Arabidopsis thaliana: one gene and its partners. The protein of the gene in region 1 binds, or shares a complex with, the protein of each later gene. Each region holds a gene or a part of one and is shown in the gene's direction. Other genes may lie near its edges.

Evidence for each region.
Region 2: AT2G32070 (region 1) and AT1G73875 share a complex: the UniProt entries of both Arabidopsis thaliana proteins name them as parts of the CCR4-NOT complex.
Region 3: AT2G32070 (region 1) and AT3G58580 share a complex: the UniProt entries of both Arabidopsis thaliana proteins name them as parts of the CCR4-NOT complex.

The regions. Positions count from the first base shown.
Region 1 is NC_003071.7:13,640,275-13,647,474, reverse strand, and holds AT2G32070 (Polynucleotidyl transferase, ribonuclease H-like superfamily protein), read left to right. Parts: upstream 1-5,414; 5' UTR 5,415-5,597; intron 5,598-5,731; 5' UTR 5,732-5,818; coding exon 5,819-6,646; 3' UTR 6,647-6,881; downstream 6,882-7,200. Other genes in the region: AT2G32090 (Lactoylglutathione lyase / glyoxalase I family protein), read right to left, coding at 1,867-1,898, 2,137-2,212, 2,324-2,554, 2,907-2,975; PUR ALPHA-1 (purin-rich alpha 1), read left to right, coding at 3,439-3,750, 3,833-3,880, 4,065-4,208, 4,284-4,517, 4,607-4,759. UniProt on the Arabidopsis thaliana protein: Ubiquitous transcription factor required for a diverse set of processes. It is a component of the CCR4 complex involved in the control of gene expression.
Region 2 is NC_003070.9:27,777,343-27,784,542, forward strand, and holds the start of AT1G73875 (DNAse I-like superfamily protein), read left to right. Parts: upstream 1-3,512; 5' UTR 3,513-3,769; coding exon 3,770-4,061; intron 4,062-4,199; coding exon 4,200-4,363; intron 4,364-4,436; coding exon 4,437-4,502; intron 4,503-4,575; coding exon 4,576-4,628; intron 4,629-4,969; coding exon 4,970-5,051; intron 5,052-5,276; coding exon 5,277-5,326; intron 5,327-5,445; coding exon 5,446-5,518; intron 5,519-5,743; coding exon 5,744-5,836; intron 5,837-5,921; coding exon 5,922-5,954; intron 5,955-6,075; coding exon 6,076-6,167; intron 6,168-6,399; coding exon 6,400-6,532; coding exon of another isoform or gene 6,533-6,616; exon of another isoform or gene 6,617-6,723; coding exon 6,724-6,809; intron 6,810-6,938; coding exon 6,939-7,023; intron 7,024-7,166; coding exon 7,167-7,200. Other genes in the region: BBX16 (B-box type zinc finger protein with CCT domain-containing protein), read left to right, coding at 1,872-2,789, 2,920-3,180. UniProt on the Arabidopsis thaliana protein: Acts as a catalytic component of the CCR4-NOT core complex, which in the nucleus seems to be a general transcription factor, and in the cytoplasm the major mRNA deadenylase involved in mRNA turnover.
Region 3 is NC_003074.8:21,661,343-21,668,542, reverse strand, and holds the start of AT3G58580 (DNAse I-like superfamily protein), read left to right. Parts: upstream 1-4,447; 5' UTR 4,448-4,845; coding exon 4,846-5,003; intron 5,004-5,197; coding exon 5,198-5,945; intron 5,946-6,037; coding exon 6,038-6,124; intron 6,125-6,205; coding exon 6,206-6,289; intron 6,290-6,365; coding exon 6,366-6,452; intron 6,453-6,549; coding exon 6,550-6,636; intron 6,637-6,745; coding exon 6,746-6,799; intron 6,800-6,894; coding exon 6,895-6,986; intron 6,987-7,081; coding exon 7,082-7,196; intron 7,197-7,200. Other genes in the region: AT3G58590 (Pentatricopeptide repeat (PPR) superfamily protein), read right to left, coding at 56-2,281. UniProt on the Arabidopsis thaliana protein: Acts as a catalytic component of the CCR4-NOT core complex, which in the nucleus seems to be a general transcription factor, and in the cytoplasm the major mRNA deadenylase involved in mRNA turnover.

The DNA.
Region 1 (7,200 bases):
AAACGTTTACAAAACATATATTCCCTAAAGGGTATTGTACTTTCGAGTGAATCTGAATATCAGATATTTACTTTTTTAGCGTTTTTCTTTCTTTTGGTTTGATACTTTCTAATTTTGTAATTATTCACTTTCTTTCTGAAACACTGACGTACAAAGCTGAATTCAACATGGGGAGGTCTTTCTTTATACGTGAATGATAGTATTTATAAATTTTGGTTTATTCATATAACCTTATAGTTTGTCAGAGTTACAAAAACTGCAAAACATGAAGAATGAGTGTCCTTGCAATTACAGAATAGAGAGAGCTCACGAGGAGGTAAATTCATCCACCACCTAGATTGGTCCACTCATCATGACGTAAAGCCAAAAGACGTTAGTTCAAGTACGAATACTTCCCTAGTGTGGTCCTGGTTTTTGGTCCACCGGTCCGATTCACAAGGTCAGGTCGAGTTTTCACTGGTCCGACCAAGCAGGTCATTCGGTCAATATTTGTTTTGTTAATCAAGTCCTAAAGATATTTTAGCCACCAGTGACTATAACTAAGTCTGGCTATTTTTGTACATGTAGAATCAAGTAATAACTAATAAGGAGTTAAGGACTAACGATCAGTTATGACTTGCTGTTGCTGGTAATTTGGCGGGTGAGAATAGACAATGGATAGAAGCAAGTTAAAAATGGAAATGAAGCATCCAATATAATAAGTATTTTGGAAGCATGTTTTTGTGAATTATCTCATTATGATTTGGTTATAGAGACTAATGTGAAGTCGTGTTGGTGAAAGGTTTGAAACTTGTTGTGTTTCATATATTCAATAGTTTAGCGACTATTTTTGCTTGTAGCCTATATATTTTCAGGGTTATCCCTCGTTACTGGTAAAGATCGTATCGGATAACACTCGAAATGCACAGCTGAGCTATCATCGTGCCAAGGCTAGGGTGGACCGGTGGTACCACTTCGCGTAGTTATCCGGCACCAGAAAAAAAAAAAAAGATTCGAACTCATCTTTCATATGGATAAATTTATGTGGGCCACAACAGAAAATATAGCTATCATCATACTTTGTTGTTACATAAGCTACTCATGATTCGTCCGCCAATATTCCATCACCAAATAAGAACCACAAAAGCGGCGACTGATGGATCATAAGATTTTAGATTATGGTAAGTTGTAGAATGTTTGTAATGCCTTCACACCATTATGCCTCTTGCCATGTTGGGGGTATGGACAACAACTTAGCCCCACAAATTGATGCCCTATTTTGTTTAGACTGGAATTTTGAAACACATTTTTCTCTATTTTGCTATTTTTGGGGTCATCAGTCTACACATGGATGTTGCAAATGACCACCAATTCGGTTCACTTCAGGTTGGGTTTAATTACGACCCGACTATGATCTAGCCAACCATAATTTAGCCTCGATATCTGAGGTTTAGGTCTGATTCGACCAAGCTTTATAGCAATACAAGTCAACCGGAAGTTAGAAATGATACGTTTGATGAGTTCAATCCGGGTTGAACCGGGTGAGTTTATATGACCAAAACAACTCTTCACAATAAATGAATAAAATATCTCGAGTTGTGAATGTATGGTTGTTCTTAGTTGGGTCTCTATCGTCCTCTCTCTCTATTATAACTATCCCAATCTCTTCGGTGTTGTAATAGAGACATGGGAACTACTAGACAAGGAAAAGCTCATAAATTCGATACATCCAACATTCAAAGCACATGACACGAACTTTGAGGCGTAAGCTGTCACAAGTTAACATCAAACCTAGACATATAGATTTTATTTCAACAAACTGATTATTTATACAATACTTTTATTTCATTCTATAAGTAGTGATACCACATATTTCAGGTTCAAGGCTCATGATCGACTTGCTACCTCTAATCCGTTTCCTGCAAAATTTGACGACAGAATCTGTAAGTTGAAACAGACAGGATCGCTGAAAGATAATCCTAGAACACATGTTCCGGATCGATAGACCAAAGTACTAAAGCATCAATGCATATAAATATATAATACACAAGAACTGTAATTTGCAAATGCTTGTGCTGAATAAGAAAAGTAGACATATATCTGACCAAGTTATAATAGTTATTAAGCCGGCTTAAGAGCAAAACAGAGATTAATTACCATCAGGATCAAAGAAGAAAACTTGCTTGACTTTTCCATCAGGAAGAGACTTCTGAAAAGTTTCTATCCCTTTCTCCTACATCATAACAAGGACGAGAAAGGATCGATTAAATAACTCTGAAAGATACCAATCATATCCATAACTGTACCATCAAAAGCTCATGTAAACAAGCCAAAGAAACAATACCTTGAGAGAATGAAGGAAAGAGTCGAAATTTGGGACAGAGAAACAGATATGATGACCCATTGGGAGATGGCTAGGATCCTTAACCGCTGAGGTAGCACTGTAAGGACCTTCTGGAAGATTTGTTGAAGGGTTTCTCTGGATAATATGCATTGCAAAAGCACCTGGTAAGTTTAGCCACACCACCTGTAGGTCTCCAAAATCAGGACTTTCGATCTCCTCGAACCCAAACACCTGACAATTATACATATATAATCCATTGGTTTCAGAACAAACCACGAAGATGAAGATAACACTAACTTAATCAAAAGGATTAAAGGCATCCAAAAGTGGACACTCTCAATAGAAACTAGAAACGAGATAAGTGACAAGAGAAAGAGACAAAGCCACAATAGCAACACAAATCTCTAAATAAAAAGCCAAATTACAAACCATAGATTCTAATCCAGATGGGTAATCGACTCAGTGCGTTTGTTTTTTTGGGTCGAAATTGGTAGTAACAACACAAACCCAGAACAGAGAATACGAAGAGAGATAAGAAAAAGAAAAGTGTAAGAAATTGAAAACGTCGATTAGGTGTCGTTACCTCTTTGTAAAACTGGGCGAGGCGTGTGATGTCTGATGATTCTCTGGCTATATGGCCAAGACTCGCCATGTTTGGTTCCAAGCGGACAAAGCTAATCAAGAAGAACAACTCAGAAACAAAAATGGTCGACAAAAAAGAGATTAGTAAAAGTACGTGGCATCGGCTCCTTATAACACATCTTTAATCAAACCATAAGGTTGAACCGATCGGTTTGACTATCAGTGAAACTAAAACCAACTTTAAAAAAAAGAATTATTATACGTAATTGCAGTTACTCCAAGAAAAATTAATCTGTTGCTTAATCTGAATATCCGACCAATCAGAAATGTTCGGACCCCGACCAAACAATGTATCCGGTTTAAAACATCCGGTCCGGTATTAAACCCTTATTGCTCCGTAATCTCTCACCTCCACCAATTCCTCATTCTTCCAATCGCACTTCCTTTACCAGATCAGACGTCAATTTCAACTCTTCAGTGAAGAGATTTCTTTCACCGAATTTTCTACTCCGATCGATCAATTGAAGATTGAAATGGAAGCTAATTCAGGCGGAGGAGGAGGAGCTGAAGGCGGAAGAGCGGTAACCGGAGGAGGAGGAGGAGGAGGAGGGAGCGATGTGGAATTGGTGAGCAAGACGTTGCAAGTGGAGCATAAGCTATTCTATTTTGATCTTAAGGAGAATCCTCGTGGAAGGTATCTAAAGATATCGGAGAAGACGTCGGCGACGAGGTCAACCATCATTGTTCCTTCCTCCGGCATCTCTTGGTTCCTTGATCTCTTCAACTACTATGTCAATTCTGAGGAACACGAGCTTTTTAGCAAAGAATTGCAGCTTGATTCCAAGGTTTCAACTTTATCATCACTCTCTTCTGGCGATCGTTGACTTTTCCACTCTCTTTAATTTCTGCTGTTGTTGCTTTATTCAGGTGTTTTACTTCGATATCGGTGAGAACAGAAGAGGACGCTTCTTGAAGGTAGAAATTTTTCTGTTTTACTTAATGAATCTGAAGTTTTTTTTCTTTGGTATATGTGAATTGAAGATTTAGGGAGTACTAGACTTATGGTTAGGAATGTTCTTTTCATTTTGGTTATGTGACTAATTATCCTGAGGTATCAGAAGTTGTAGGAATGTTCTGATGGGTTTTGGTGTGGTGTTAGGTGTCAGAAGCATCGGTTAGTAGAAATCGAAGTACCATTATTGTTCCAGCTGGAAGCTCTCCTGATGAAGGATGGGCAGCTTTCAGGAATATATTGGCTGAGATACATGAAGCATCAGGACTTTTTGTGATGCCAAATCAGGTGGTATTATCGTCTCCTTTGATTGAAAAGCCTTTAACTAAGTTCTCTGGTCTCATTGTATCTTCGTTTTGGAAACAGAAACCTTCTGATGGACAGGAACACTTGGTTGATGATGTTGGAGCTGGTTTTATACCTGGACATGGTAGTCAGCAGCCATCTTCTTCAGAACATAATGTGGATCGAACAATTGACTCGCCAGGCCAGGAAGAAACCGGAATGACTGGTGTTTCTAAAGTAATCAGAGCTGACCAGAAACGGTTCTTCTTTGATCTTGGGAACAATAACAGGGGCCATTTCTTAAGGATATCTGAGGTAATCTTGGAAGAACAATCTTTTGCTGGCTTATCTCTTGAGAGCTTGTATTTACCATGGTTTTAACATTAAAGCATTTCTCAATATAGGTGGCAGGTTCTGACAGGTCTTCCATCATTCTACCGTTATCGGGTCTTAAGCAGTTTCACGAAGTAATTGGTCACTTTGTGGAGATCACCAAAGATAAAATTGAAGGTATGACAGGTGCAAATGTCAGGACAGTTGATCCTCCTCAGAGATAAGTATTGATTCTCTTAGAGGATGGAAATTTTCAATCCTCTAACCATTTGAATCTGGCAACTTCAAGTCGACTGCCTGATCGCGGTGTGCAATAGTTTCACGTAATATCTCTCGCCCCTTCACATCTTCTAAAAATAATTCAGCAGGATCATCATTTGCCTTAATAGTAGATAAAACAAACTTTGGAGTCTGCAACTGGGAATAAGCTGAAAATCATCCACCATGTGTATCTCTCTCTCTCTCTCTCTCTCTCCCTCCCTCCCTCATTTGCTTCTGTTCTGTTTTAACTTTTTTTGTTTTTGTTCAGTTTGGGTCATTGGGTGTATATCTGTTGACGGCTTGATGCATTTCAATTGTAAAAGAATATTGGGGTTTATATGTTTGGGCTAATGCCTGTTGGAATAAAAGATGAAGTGTAAGTTCTATACATGAGTTACGAATTCTTTTTGGTTTTGTCTGAAAATGATTTAGTTCTACTACCAGAGGTTCTAAGAGCAGTTGCGAATTGTATATACTGTCCTAAGCATGCTTTGGTTAGACAAAAATTTCGATTTTTAGGTTAATCGAAAATGCCTCAATAATAAAAAAAAAAGAAAAAGAAATCAACGTTGCGTATAAAACAAGGGAGAAGATAAAAAAACAGCGTTTGTAAATAAAAAACAAAAACCCTAAAAAAAGGAGCAACTTTGGGCACAGTCCGAGAGAGAGAAAAAAATAAAAAATAATCTGTCGGTGATTTATAACCTCCTCTCTAATAAACCACCACATCCTCTGAAACCCTAGCCTGAACAACTCGCCGTCTTCTCGAGAAACATCTTTCTTACTTCGCTTCATTACAAGGTTCGAATCCAGCTGTCTCTCTTAGTATTTGTCTATGTATCTGTCGAGTTTCTCTGTTTTCATTGATTTATGTAAAATCAGAAGGTTTTGGTTTTTGTAAGTGATTCATTTGTTTTGTGTTAAATCTATTGCAGATCTGATGAAACCAGATCGGATCTTGCTCTAGATCCAGATGCTCCTTAACTTATTTACTCGAATTCATCATCATCGTTATCATCACCATGTCACTGTTTCTAAAAGACGATTCGATTCAAATCCGTGAAGTATGGAACGACAATCTCGAATCAGAGATGGCTCTGATTCGAGAAGTCGTAGACGATTTCCCATTCGTAGCGATGGACACAGAGTTCCCAGGAATCGTGTGTAGACCAGTGGGAACATTCAAAACCAACACAGAGTACCACTACGAAACTCTCAAAACAAACGTCAACATACTCAAGATGATTCAGCTTGGACTCACTTTCTCTGATGAGAAAGGTAACCTCCCAACTTGTGGAACAGACAACAAGTATTGCATCTGGCAGTTCAATTTCCGCGAATTCGACCTCGAATCCGATATCTACGCTACCGATTCGATCGAGCTTCTTCGTCAATCAGGCATCGATTTCGTGAAAAACAACGAATTCGGTATCGATTCGAAGCGGTTCGCTGAGCTTTTGATGTCTTCAGGGATTGTGTTGAATGAAAACGTTCATTGGGTTACATTCCACAGCGGATACGATTTCGGTTACTTGTTGAAGCTATTGACTTGTCAGAATCTTCCCGAGACGCAAACAGGGTTCTTCGAGATGATCAGTGTGTATTTCCCGAGGGTTTATGATATCAAACACTTGATGAAGTTCTGTAATAGTCTTCATGGAGGTCTGAATAAATTGGCGGAGCTGCTTGATGTTGAGAGAGTTGGGATTTGTCACCAGGCCGGATCGGATAGCTTGTTAACGTCGTGTACATTCAGGAAGCTGCAGGAGAATTTCTTCATTGGTTCAATGGAGAAGTATTCTGGTGTTTTGTATGGTTTAGGTGTTGAGAATGGTCAGATTGTTCATTGATAAAAGCTTAAAGTTTTAAACAGGTTATGTTATTTATTTTAGATTATTACATCATAGGTTGTTTTAAGAAGTGTATGATCACAAGAACTAAACTCTGATTTTGGTTTGGTATTGTGCTCTCTTACTTGTTTAAAGATAGCATCTCACTTAATTTATGAAAAAAAAAGTTTGATATATGTCCTTTTTCATCATATCTTAAAGATATTATCAAAGGTATACGTATTTGGCCTATTAATAAAATTTCACAATGTGTTAAAAGACTTAAAGGACAACATAAATTGTGGATTCTGTGAAGTGTTTAAACATTAAAGATGAAAATTGGGAAAGATTAAACAAACGACAGCGTTTTTTAAAAGGACCCAGATATTGAAGGAATGGCCCAGTAAAGCCCATTAAAGTAGAGCCCAGGTTCGTGACAAATCTGTTAAAATCGTATAATTCAGGGTTCGTAAAACCCTAATATATAACTTCGCTACTCATTTTTTGCTCTTCGTTGCAGCCTCTCTCTCTTTAAGGTTAGTCTCTTACTCACTTTTGCGTAGTTCCTCACTGAA
Region 2 (7,200 bases), on another chromosome or scaffold:
TTAATTTCGTTCAAAATAGACAAGAAAATACTTCAGATTTAAGGAAAACGTTGTAGTGATACATTTATTTATCATATCGAGCTTTAATATAGGAATATTTGTTTTTATTGTTGTTACTTAATACTTATTAATTAGTGTTGGGATAATTTTAACTGTTTCAAGTACCGATCTATCACACTTCAACGCAGAGCAATCGGACGTATGAAAGCAAAAAGATTTCCCGCATCTATGTTAGCAAGTGGTCTCTCATATCAATCAAGGCCTATTGTGCCTCCACTTCCGAAATTCACTCGTTCGTCAATAGGTTATATTATTAATTCTACACATGTATCACAAAAATGTGCAGATTTCAACTTGGTGGTGAATGGTGATATAATTAAGGTTTGTATATCATGTCACATAACTTGCGTAAATTCCATATAAAGTAATATAAATAAAATGGTGGTGTAAAGCAGAGGAACGAGTCCTATGATAGAGAGATGTTCAATTGTTCGTGGGTCATGTGGCGTAAAATTGTTTGTTTCCTTGTTTCTTTTGGCGTAAACTGCAAAATTGCCAAAAATTCGATGAAGTCACAACCTCTTGATTTGTATATATTGTCACGTCGCTATATCACCACAATCAATTCCTTTCTTTAAAGGACTAGAATTCCATTACTCATATCATTTCCGTTATGTTAGATCCACAATAAATGATAATAATTAAATTTAGGACCCATTTGAATCTTTAGGTGCTGATTAAACACCCATCTCTAAGATCACAAAAGCAGAAATTTTACATTTTTAGTGACATATAATCCTTTTTTCTATCATCAAACATTAGAAGTTGGATGTTAAATGTTCTACAAAACTTCACAGGTGTTGTTGGAAGTTCCAAAAAAGAATGTCGTTTGCTATACAAAAAAAGAAAAGAAAAGATGAAAAGTAACTTCCTGCGTTTAAAGTATCACGCTGCGTTGCGGTCATGCAAACGCACCAACAAACAAAATAGTTTCAAAACAAAACTTGAAAATGTGGGGTCCACGTAAGAATCTCCATGGAAGAACTTGAGCCAATCAGAGTGCAAAAACGGAGATGACAGTATATTTCAACCAATAAGGAGGCAGAATCAGATCACCAGTGGGTTCCATTATAAGTTTCCTCTTGACTAACCACCAATAGCTAGTTTTACACAGAACTTAAATTTTTCATTTTTTTTTGTCTTTTAATATTTCAACAAGATCAATTTTATTATTTGATATTAACCATCTTCAACAGTGTTTGCCAACGAAAAAAAAACACCATCTATAACAGTGTCTTCACCAAACTGTATTTCACTATGACTTATTTTCCGAAAAGAATGATGAAGTTTAGTACCATACATGAACTAGCGGTTAGATCGTAATTAAGAATTTGAGGATCATATTTTACTATATCATGAAAACGGAGAGAGCGCAAAATTACAGACATATTGGTTCAAAATTTTATTTAAGAATAAAGTATATATATGGTTCTAATTTTTCAAAAAAAAAGTATATGGTTCTAAACATTTATTTGAAAGTACGTAATATAATGAAAACAAAAATTGTAAATTTGAAGTAAAAAACTCGTGAAAAGTCCTCATTCTAAAATACCATGTACACGTACATAATAAACTATGAATAGAATTATGAGTTTTTATTTATATTTCTATCTCCACTCCAAATAATTTAGACCACACAAGGTAATGAAAAAATAATAATTCTGAAAAAAATGAAAAATACTGCCGGGAAATCGAGACGCCACACACACTAGTGAATTCGTTGCAAAACCATATATATTACAGTATTTTGTTCTTCTCAAGGCCTCTCTCTCCATCTCAGCAACTCTCTCACTGTGTAATATACACACACAATGGTGGTCGATGTAGAGAGCCGAACCGCGAGCGTGACAGGAGAGAAGATGGCGGCGCGTGGCTGTGATGCGTGCATGAAGAGATCACGTGCTAGTTGGTACTGTCCAGCCGATGACGCTTTCCTATGCCAAAGCTGCGACGCCTCGATCCACTCGGCTAACCATTTAGCGAAACGGCACGAACGTGTCCGGTTACAATCATCTTCGCCGACGGAGACGGCAGACAAAACGACGTCGGTATGGTACGAAGGATTCAGGAGAAAGGCGAGAACGCCTAGGAGCAAGAGTTGTGCGTTTGAGAAGTTGTTGCAAATCGAGTCAAACGATCCTCTTGTTCCGGAGCTTGGTGGAGACGAAGATGATGGCTTTTTCTCGTTCTCCTCCGTAGAAGAAACCGAGGAGAGTCTGAATTGTTGCGTGCCTGTTTTCGATCCTTTCTCAGACATGCTGATTGATGATATAAACGGCTTTTGCTTAGTTCCTGATGAAGTCAATAACACTACTACTAATGGAGAATTAGGAGAAGTCGAGAAGGCAATCATGGACGATGAAGGTTTTATGGGGTTCGTGCCATTGGATATGGATCTTGAGGATCTCACTATGGACGTGGAGAGTTTACTTGAGGAAGAACAACTTTGCTTGGGATTCAAGGAACCAAACGATGTTGGAGTCATCAAAGAAGAGAATAAAGTAGGGTTTGAGATTAATTGTAAGGATTTGAAGAGGGTGAAAGATGAAGATGAAGAAGAAGAAGAAGCCAAGTGTGAAAATGGAGGATCAAAGGATAGTGATAGAGAAGCATCAAATGATAAAGATAGAAAGACAAGTTTGTTTCTGAGATTAGATTATGGAGCTGTGATTAGTGCTTGGGATAATCACGGTTCGCCGTGGAAAACCGGAATCAAACCGGAGTGCATGGTAAGTTGGTGTCTCTAGCTATATCTCTCATCTCTATGTTAGTCTTTAGTAGTGTCGAGTTCCGTTGACTTTGAGCTGATATATATTGATTATAAAAGACGAAATAACGTTATAAAGTTCACTGATCCAGTTGGGAGGGAACACGTGTCTGCCTCATGTTGTGGGTGGGTACGAGAAATTGATGTCGAGCGACGGATCGGTGACACGTCAGCAAGGGAGAGACGGAGGAGGATCGGACGGGGAGAGAGAGGCGAGGGTTTTGAGGTACAAGGAGAAGCGGAGGACGAGGTTGTTCTCAAAGAAAATAAGATATGAGGTTCGGAAACTTAACGCTGAGCAGAGACCTCGAATCAAAGGTCGTTTCGTGAAGAGGACGTCACTTTTGACGTGATTTGATTTACTTTAATCAACACTTTAAAGATCTTGTAATTAAGACCTTTGAAGTAATTGTCGTAATGTACTGAATAATGAACTGAAACTCTTGGGGCCGATGGTTGTGTAGACTTGTAGCCGGCAACTATGATTTTATAGATTGATTGATTGAGTAATTTATTGTATATATCAAATGAAAACTCTTTGTTTATCAAATGAATTGGAGAAAAAAGCCATAATGTGTGATAATAACGAACACTAAAAAATTCGTAGCGAAGACATGTTACAAAGAAAACAAGTGTAATTAAAAAAAACAAAAAAAAAACAAGAAACAAGTTCAAATTAGAACATGCCATTTCCAACAATTTACAAATGAAGCAAGAAATAAAAGCCATTAAGGCCTAGTTATGGCTGAATAGCCCATCACACAATTAAAAAAACCAACATAAAGAGCCCAACTAGGCAACTACTTAAGCCAACCGGTTTGGGTTATCAAGTACGTATTTTAATCGTTAACCAGTAAAAATCGTGAATTTCAACCGACTGAATTTGGTTAACTTCACAAGGTTGACGCATAGCTCACGCGCCGCCGACTTGCTACGATTGACATGAGCGGATACGAGCGTAAGAACACGACGGCGAACTCAATCACCATCACCAAGCGGAAGCGTAACTCGATTTCGGAACAATCGGAGAACGTATACGAGAAATCGAATAGGAAGGAGTCAATAACCTTAAAACCTCACCGTTCTTTTACGCCGGGATTCAGCCAGCGTGATTGTAAACCTGTCAGACATAGTAAGTCTTCTCTCCGCCGGCGACGGAGAACTAAGGAGAAGATCTCGAGTTCCGTTGAGCGCGAATGGGTGTTTTCCGCAAACAATTTTGAAAATCTAGCAGGTCTGTGTGCATTGCAATCACACTGAATAATGCACTTATATGCTTTTATTAGCTTCACGAAGTATCACATTCCGTACTTTGAACACATTTTTATCTTATGTGTATGAAAAACTTGATATCTCCTTTTCAATTCTTCAGATAAATTAGTATTAGTTTCGTACAATCTACTTGGTGTTGACAATGCGTCGAACCACATGGACTTGTATTACAATGTTCCGCGGAAGCACTTAGAGTGGAGTAGACGGAAACATCTCATATGCAAGGAGATTAGTCGTTACAATGCAAGCATCTTATGTCTTCAGGCAAGTTCCAGGGGATTGCCTAGATCTACACTATTTAAGTTTCATTGCATTCTCATGTCCAAATTTATTGCAGGAGGTTGACCGCTTTGATGATTTAGATGTTCTTCTTAAAAATAGAGGATTTCGAGGTGTTCACAAGGTATATATACGAGTCAAAAGCTTTATTACCTTGTATGCAATGGTGCCTTTTTCATACATTTAGTATTTTTTAGAGTCGGACTGGAGAAGCGAGTGATGGTTGTGCTATATTTTGGAAAGAGAATCTGTAAGTTCAGTTTTTTTCTATTTAGGATCATTTTTAATGTGGTGGGAAGTCTCTATATGCTGGAGTCAGGATCAGGAATCTAGCCATTTGAATTGTCTACAGGGAATATCTCTCTTTTGGAACGAGATAAATTAGATCTTCTAGTTATCTGTTTTGAATGTTTCGAAATTGTTAATGGTAGGTTCACGTTGTGTTATGTTATCAGCTTTGACCTTGGCTTCACAATATATTGTTCAAGGCTGAAAGCTTTGCTTTCTATTGTTCTCGATGTTATTTATTTTGTATTAGACTCTTACTCTACTAGTTTCATCATTTATGTTATATTTCTGCTGTGAATGCAGATTTGAACTTCTAGACCATCAACATATAGAGTTTGATAAATTTGGTATGCGAAACAATGTTGCTCAACTTTGTGTTTTAGAGGTATGCACCGTTTTAAGTTATTTCTGTATTGTCGTCTTCCCCCTCTTTTCTCCTCTGTCTTTTCTTGATTCTAGAAGCACAGAGATATGACAAGCTTAATTGTGGGCATTATTTTATATATTTTTCCCTCCTGTTGTGTTTTCAGCTTTGCAGGCTAATTGCTTAATTTTCTTAGTTTCAGCCCTTGCAATTAATTAATTTACTTGATTGTCTATTACGGAACAGATGAACTGTGAGGAGGACCCAAAGTCTAAATTACGGGTGCGATCATCAGAGTATGTCTGAGTTCTGTTCTGATTCCTTTACTGGAGTGAATATTGAACTTACTTTTAAGATCCTTACTAAATTTTATGCGCACTTCCATGTTTGGTTGATTTATGCAAACTTCTACTAGTCCTCGAAGGCTAGTGGTTGGGAATATACATGTCCTATTCAATCCTAAGCGTGGGGATATCAAGCTTGGCCAGGTATGTCTTGCTAGATCCTTACAAAATTCTGATAAAAACTGGCTTATCCATAAAATCGGTAGAGCATTTCTGTCACTACACATCCTGAGTTTAGAAATGTCAATTTTTTAGCTAGTACTATTTTATGGTATTCATCAGTACATCAATGCCTGTCAGTATTGAAACTTCATTGAAATTCTAAGTAGCTCGCTCATTTCTTGATATTTGATATGTCATAACTTATAGGTAAGACTCTTTCTGGAGAAGGCTTACAAGCTATCACAGGAATGGGGAAATATTCCTGTGGCGATTGCAGGTGATCTGAATAGCACTCCACAGGTGATCTCTACCAACTTTTGTTTTTTTTGTTCTAATACTTATTTTTTAGCTGAATTCTAAAACTTACTCTGGATTTGCTGTACAGAGTGCAATCTATGATTTCATAGCTTCAGCTGATGTGAGTTCCATTGAGGGTTCTGGACTCTTTCTTTTACATTTCGCCTGGTCATAATTTTTTTCCTTTCTTTACTGGGAAAGTTAGAATGAACTCTTTATATTCCTTTTTTAATTTTGGACAGTTGGATACACAACTTCACGATCGCAGGCAAATTTCTGGCCAGACTGAAGTGGAACCAAAGGAGAGGTCATTCAGAAACCATTATGCATTTAGGTAGCTTGTAATTCACCGGGGTCTTTGGTTTCTCTAAATAATGTATCCATATTCCTTTTCTGCCTACCTGATGAACGGATAGATTGCTTATATCTCTTCTGTTTACCTGATGAACTGATAGAGTGATAGATTACTTATATTTTTCTTTGGCCTGCGCTTAATCAACTACGTAATCCTCAGATGAAGTTTCTATCTCAATTTAGTCTAACTAAACAACTCCCTCTTTCGTCAGTGCTTCAGCATCCATCTCCGGATCACTACTCAATGAGTGGAGCCAGGAAGAATTACAGCTTGCAACTGGTGGTCAAGAAACCACTCATGTCCAACATCAACTGAAGCTTAACAGCGCATATAGTGGAGTTCCTGTAAGTGTTTTTGTTTCTTGTTCTCGACTGGTGGACGCATCGAAAAGAGTTGAAATCTGCCTTACAGGAAAACTAAGTTCTTAGGAACTGTGGCTTTCTTTTATACTAGATACTGAAAAACGTTTAGGGAAAGTAGCATGTTGTATGATGTTATATATCCTTCTAGTATGCTAAGACCTGAGATCTTGCAGGGTACATATAGAACTAGAGATCAACGCGGTGAACCATTGGCAACAACGTATCATTCCAGGTTCCTTGGAACTGTTGATTATATATGGTAAGTCTGTTGTGCTTATGAAATCCGAATCATTAATCAGAGCTTTCAATTATATATGGCTATCAATGTTGTGATATATGCACATGTAATTTTGAAATCTCAATAATTAATCTGAGGTTTTGAACCCAGGCATACCAAGGAACTCGTTCCTGTGAGGGTTCTTGAGACCTTGCCAGCAGATGTATTGAGAAGAACAGGTGGACTACCTAGTGAGGTAAGTTTTTTTTTCTAGGCTAAACTTTTTTTCTGGGGCAACCCTTTACTTTCTCGAGTTACTCTATTCATTTTTTCAAGAATGTAAAAACTGGGATTATTGGAAGAGTTGCATACAAGTCTCTGACCAATGAAAATTTGCAGAATTGGGGAAGCGACCATCTCGCTATCGCATGTG
Region 3 (7,200 bases), on another chromosome or scaffold:
ACATCAGATAAATATCAAAAAATTCGCACATCTCTTCCAATTCTACTTTCTTCAACTACTGAAAAGAGACGACATTGAGAGTGTTTCTCTGTTCTTCTGCAAATCTATTGCAACCATCAAGAAATGTACGCCATACAGGCGCATCTGCAGGGAAAGGCATTTCCCGAATCAGATGCTCAGCTTCCTTCAGGTAACCATTTCTTGCCAAAAGATCAACGGCGCAACGATAATGATCCATTTCTGGTTCAACACCGTAATCCTTCATTTTCTGAAACAAACCCATTCCTTCTTTTACCATACCACCATGTCTGCAAGCAGTTAGAATAGAGATGAACGAGACACGATCTGGCTTAAAACCCAAAGACAGTGTTTCCTTAAACTTTTCAAGTGCCTCCTGTCCATATCCATGGATGCCAAGACACGAAATCAATGCCGTCCATGTAATGAGGTTTTTCTCTCTTGTTTCTTCAAAGACTTTCATTACACTCCTAATGCTTCCGCATTTCCCATACATGTCAATTAGTACGTTACATACAAATGTGTCAGCGCAGCTGAAATCTGTTTTGGTGATCAAACCATGAATAGAACTCCCAAGAGTAAGGTCACAGAGCTTAGAACACAAACTTAAGATACTAACGAATGTGTACTTATCAGGGCGGATGTTTGATTGAAGCATGTGTTTGAAAAGTTCGATAACCTCTTCATGGTAATCAGAACGAGAGCAGGCCGCAATTGCAATGTTCCAAGATACAGTGTCGGGTTGTTCTAGTGTCGAAATCAGCTTCACAGATTCATGGTACTGGCCTCTTCTGCTATAGATTCCGGCAACAATGTTCAATGGGACGACCGAAGTTGGCCCGCTAGCCCAATCCAGCAGAAGAAGAGCATCATTCATCAGTTGATTTTTGGCGTAGGATCTCATAAGAGAGCTTAAGACATAGTCATTATCTTCATATCCCATTCTCACAATAACAGAGTGCAGCTGCTGTAACTCTGTGACACAACAAGATTTGAGGGCCGTCGAAAAAGTATATTCAGTTGGCCTGAAACCCATTTGAAGCATTTGCAGAAACAAAGAGAGACAAATCGGACCATCCTTATTGGCATAACCCGAAAGCAGCGCATTCCAACAAACAATGTTCTTATCACGTATATAATCGAAGCATAGGCGGGAATCTTCCAGATTACCACATTTAGCATAAAAGTCAATCAACGCATTCCCCAAAACTATGCCAGTTTCGCAGCCATTCTTAATTAGCATGCCATGAATTTGGCGTCCGCAACTCAGTAACTGCACAAGAGAAGAGACACCAAGAACACTAACGTATGTACCTTGGTTCGGGGAAAACCCATGCTCTGGCATACTCACAAAGAGTTTGAGTGCTTTTAACGGGTTCTCACTTTTGGCTGTTGCACAAATTATGGCGTTCCATGACACTATATCCCAGGAACCTGCATCCTGAAACATTCTCTCTGCCATATGCGTATTGCCACATTTTCCATATGCGCTGATGAGAGAGTTAACGACGGATATTTCACAATCTAACCCTTTTTTCGTTGCTGAGCAATGCAACTGTTTGCTAATATCCAAGTCCTTTACACAAGATACACCCTTCAATACACCCAGGAAAGAGCTTTCAGTTAAAGAAGCGCCCATCCTAACAAGCTCACGGAAGAAAAACATGCATTCTTTGAGAAAACCACGATGCCCCAACAAAGACATCATATGGTTCCATGTTTCCAAGCTCTTAAACGGCATATCTTCAAAAACCTGTTCCGCCATTTCCAGCAAGTCAAGCCTCCCATACAAACACAACAAACAAGTACCAACAAATGCATCAGCCATAAACAAGCCATACTTCAAGCTCAAACCGTGCAACTGAGTTCCAGCACGAACATCCAACGATGCACAGGACAATAAACCACTCACTGTTGACTGGTTCGGCAAATATCCAAAATACCTCATCTCAGAGAACACACCCCAAGCTTTATCAACATCCCCGTATTTGCTGTACCCTTTAATGATCGTGTTGAAAGACACTTTATTTCTCTCAGGCATTTGATCAAACACTTTGCCTGCAAGTGATACCTCGCCAAGCTTCTCATAAAGACTGATAATGTTATTGCAGACATAAACTGGCTGCAAAAGAACAGAGCATAAAGTGATGGAGAGAGCGTGAAGAGCTTTGGTCCTTGCAAAGGAAGGAGCTTTTCTGCAGACATTGAGTAAGCTAACTACACGATCGTTGTGATTGGCGAGATCTCCACAGCTGAGGCTCATGCAGAAGGATACTGAAAACAGAGTACTTCCCAGATCGATCTCAGTTATAATTAAGAACTAAGTTTCGTGCATCATGAAGAAAGTTCTAATAAAGGTCTGAAATTTTAAAAGTTCGGATTTTTATAAACATCAAGAACAAAGTTTGAAGTTCAGAACCAGGGAACTAAATAATTGATCTAGACCGCACCGGCTGGTTCAACCACAGTATCACGGTTTTATCTGTCCAATTGACCAATCTGGCCCATATTATTTTACAAATAAGATCTTTCAAATTGGCCCATATTTAACAAAAGAAAATCGAATTAATATTATGGTTTTCTAAATGAACCAAAATCAACTCAACTTTTTTTTTTTGAATAATTTTATTTTTATTCCATAATTTAATTTGTTTATCATTTCCAATGAAATTTTATCATTAATAAAAAAGGTTGCTCTCCTCATCCCTTCCATCTTTCCTTTCACATTTTTTAGATTATACCTCATGTTTGAATAATATTGGTTTACATATCTAATTCATATTGAAAAACCCTCCAAATCTCTAGAGAAAAAGGACGATAAGAGTACTTAACTCACAAAGGGCAAATACCCAACTTTTGAATCTCCTTACATATTTTATGACAAACTATGAAGGTGTCCTCCAAATACTCTTTAATCATCTTTTGATTATCATCTATAATGATTGTTTCTTCAGACCTCATACCCATATCTTCGAGCGGTTTTAGTATCTTTACTGTCTCGTTAAATAGATTCTCATTTACCATTTCTAAGCATTTCTTCTCTTCTATCGTTAGATCAACTTTCAATTTTTGTATGTCTTTGACGGCTTCCAACAAAACTAACAACAACAAAAAGAAAAATCAAATCAAAAGATTTCACTATAAAGAACAAAAAATAAACAAATTGTTAGTTACCATCATAGAACAAATAATATTCAGCTGCCACAACCCTTTTGAAAAGTTGAATACGTTCTGTGCTTTTGCTCATCTCAACAATTTTGATTAAAAAAAAAAATATCTAATGCATTCTTTGTTACAAGGTCGAGATGTTATTTTGTAGCGTATATAGTGTTTGAGGCTTCTTTGTTTGGAAAAGATCGCTTTCGAAAAATAATAATTATTATTATTTTCCATGTTATGCTTCATATAAAATGTGGACTCAGGCCTCCGAAATAACAAATAGAAAAAATTGTGTTGAATGCTTAAAAACGAGAAAGAAATCTCTCAACTTTGATTTACTGGACACGCATTGTATTTGTTTTCTATAATTAGTTCAAAATAATAATTTGTAAATAGTTATCTAAATTCGGTAAAATACAAACCGATAACTTTTCATATCAAATACAACAAAAGTTAGATATAAATCTTAAATTTCTATACTTTAAAATTGAGTAAACCTGAAAAGAATGAAATTTAGTCTACCTAAATTTATTAAAAACCAACAAAATTTTCATAATTCGAACCTTAATTATTTCAGGTTTGAACCGCTTATATTTATGAAAACCAAATGAACTAGCTAAAACGAAAACAAAAGCGAAAATGAACATGACAATTTTGACAATGTTAAAATGTGATTCTTTCATTAATTTGACAAATTCAACAATTCTTAAGAAGATCAATTGAATTGATAAACTATGCTGCTCTTCTTGGGTAATTCTCACATTTTAAAAAAAAAACAAAAAAGAAGAAGAAGTTAATTCTACCTTAATCTGCAACAAATCGTCTTCAAGATAATTATATCACGAATTGATATTTCTTGTCTCTTAATCTTAACGAAGAAACTACACCTCCTGGCTCCTACTGAATGTGCGTTGAACACTCACCTATTGACTCATCTTCACCATTCCTTCTTTCTTCAATCTATCATAGATATAAATACACTTCTTTTAAGTCACCAATCTTGTTTTCGTAATGGTACGAGTCATAAATCTTGATTTGTCTTTGGTAAGTCATGTTTAGTTGTGGATTATTTGTTTTTACGCATTTTCTAGATTTTAAAATTTTATCTTTATATAAACAAAAATAAAACGAAAAACTTTCAATCTTTGAGCGCCAAAACCAAAATTTTCATCGAAAAGGAAGATCAATTAAAATATTATAAAATTTCATAATAATGTCTTCAAAGCACAAAATAATAGTTTTAGTATTAAACCCACTCGGGGAAAAAAAACACATAAAAAAACCAAAATCGATTTCATTGATTTTTTCCATATTCACAGCGAAAGAATCGATCCTTAATACAAAATTCCTTCAAGATCTCACATCTCTTATAAGCTTTCTCGATACCATCATTTTCCTTTCTTTTTTTCTTTTCTTCGATTCTAATTTGGTTCTGCCGGATCTTCAACCTTGTCTGAAGAAGACATTTTCTAGGGTTTCTAGAGATTGGTCGGGTTTTCGGTTCAAGTAAATGGTGGATCAGCCTATCGTACGCTCCACTTCATTAGGTTATCAACGACAATATTCATCATCTAATAATCATCATCAAGGTCTTGCTTCGATTCTGAATCTCTGCTGCTGCTGCTTCGATAGTGTTCTTCGACAATCACCAGGTGTTATTGAAAAGCAATGCTGAGCGTGATCCGAGTGCATCTTCCTTCTGAAATTCCCATTGTGGGCTGTGAATTGACTCCTTACGTCCTTGTTCGTCGTCCCGATAAGAACTCCACCACTGATGACGTCCCTGAATCTGCTCCTCTTGAAGGCTACTTCTTGAGATACAGATGGTTAGATTTCTGATTGGCTCTTTGTCTAATTGCTTTCTTGGATCATTTGGCGAATTGGGGTTTATCAAAGATTGAATTTTGATCTGAATTCAGAGATTTCTCATGTAGATGTTCTGATTTAGGTCGTCAAATGGTTTTTGTGTGTAAAGTTCTGATCTTGTTGTAGATTCATTTTTTGGATTTATTTGTTGTAGGTATCGTGTACAGAGTGATAAGAAAGTAACGATTTGCAGTGTGCATCCAACGGAACAAGCTACTTTACAGTGTGTTTTCTGTTCTAAGCGTAGATCCCTTGTTCCAAAAAGCTATCACTGTTCGCCAAAATGCTTCACGGATGCGTGGCAGCATCACAGGACTTTGCACGAGCGAGCAGCTGCGGAAAACAACGCAAACGAGGATGATGACTTGAACAGGAATAACAGTGCGGGTTCTGGGTCTCTCGCTGGTTCCTTATCTGGGTCTATGTCAAATCTTAGTATTGCCAACAATGGTCCAGCTCCGTTTTATCCTTCTAATATTACTCAGAAAAATGGAGGAGAGACTTTAGTTGAGGTTGGGGGTTGCAAAACGTACACTCCAACAGCTGATGATATTAGCCACGTTTTGAAGTTCGAGTGTGTTGTGGCTAATGCTGAGACTAAACAGATTGTCGGACATCCTAGTACCATTTTGACTTCACGGGTTATTCCTGCTCCTTCTCCAAGCCCCCGTAAGCTAATCCCTGTTAACGGAGCTGATGGGATGGGTCACTTAGATCAAGATGCTCGGATTCAGTCTGCAGGATCATTCACTGTTCTTTCATATAACATTTTGTCTGATACTTCTGCAAGTAGCGACCTCTACAGTTACTGTCCTCCTTGGGCTCTTTCATGGCCATACCGAAGACAGAATTTGTTAAGGGAGATTGTTGGATATAGAGCCGATGTAGTTTGCCTGCAAGAAGTATGTTATTCGTATGGACTTGGTAATGATTTAAAGCATTTTAATTCTGAAAAATCTACTTCTAATGTGTTCTTTTTTTTGTTATCTGGCAGGTACAAAGTGATCATTTCCATGAAATTTTTGCTCCTGAGTTGGATAAGCATGGGTATCAAGCTCTTTACAAGAGGAAGACTAATGAGGTTTGGTCAATGATTCCACACACTCCTTCCTTCAGTGATTTATGTTTTAAAATCTATTAACCACAAATTTCTTGTTGCTAGGTTCTCAGCGGAAGTACAAGTGCCATTGACGGCTGTGCAACATTTTTCCGGCGGGATAGGTTTTCGCATGTCAAGAAATATGATGTTTGTATTCAGTTCTATATGTTTACTTGCTAGATCCAGTAAGATCTCTATACTAATTCATGGACTGTAAATCCAGGTTGAATTCAACAAGGCTGCTCAGTCTTTGACTGACGCTCTAATCCCTCAGGCTCAGAAGAGAACTGCTTTAAACCGACTGGTTAAGGTATTTTTGACATGGTATACAATATTTTTCTGGGCCACAGCTGATTATCAGAGAGTTATTGTTTACAAAACTGAAACCAATGATTCTTATGTTGTAGGATAACATTGCGTTGATAGTTGTTCTTGAAGCCAAATTTGGTAATCAACCTACTGATCCTTCTGGGAAGCGCCAGCTTATTTGTGTGGTACTGGTTCTTTTTTTTTTTCCATTCTCATGAGAACTGTTAGTTTCTGTATATGCTCTTTTAGTGAAAGCCAATGAATTTTCTTATTTTGTTGTGGCAACTTGTTTAGGCAAACACACATGTAAATGTTCAACAAGATCTGAAGGATGTGAAGCTCTGGCAGGTTGGTGTATCTCTATATCCGAAATAAATCAAATTTCATTGAACTCGAAAGAATTAGTATTCACCTCATGTTTTCTTTTATTCTTTTGCGTTTAGGTTCATACCTTATTAAAGGGACTAGAGAAAATAGCAGCTAGTGCCGATATTCCTATGCTTGTGTGTGGAGACTTCAATACGCTTCCTGGGAGGTTTGTTGATTCATAAATTCTTTTGACATGATACATGAAATGCAGAATTCTCTTATGAGTAGCTAAAGTTTTTCTTTTTGGCATTTTTATGACAGTGCACCTCATACACTTCTTGTAATGGGAAAGGTTGATCCAATGCACCCAGATCTGGCAGTCGATCCCCTTAATATCCTGCGTCCTCACACCAAATTGACTCATCAATTGCCTCTGGTAA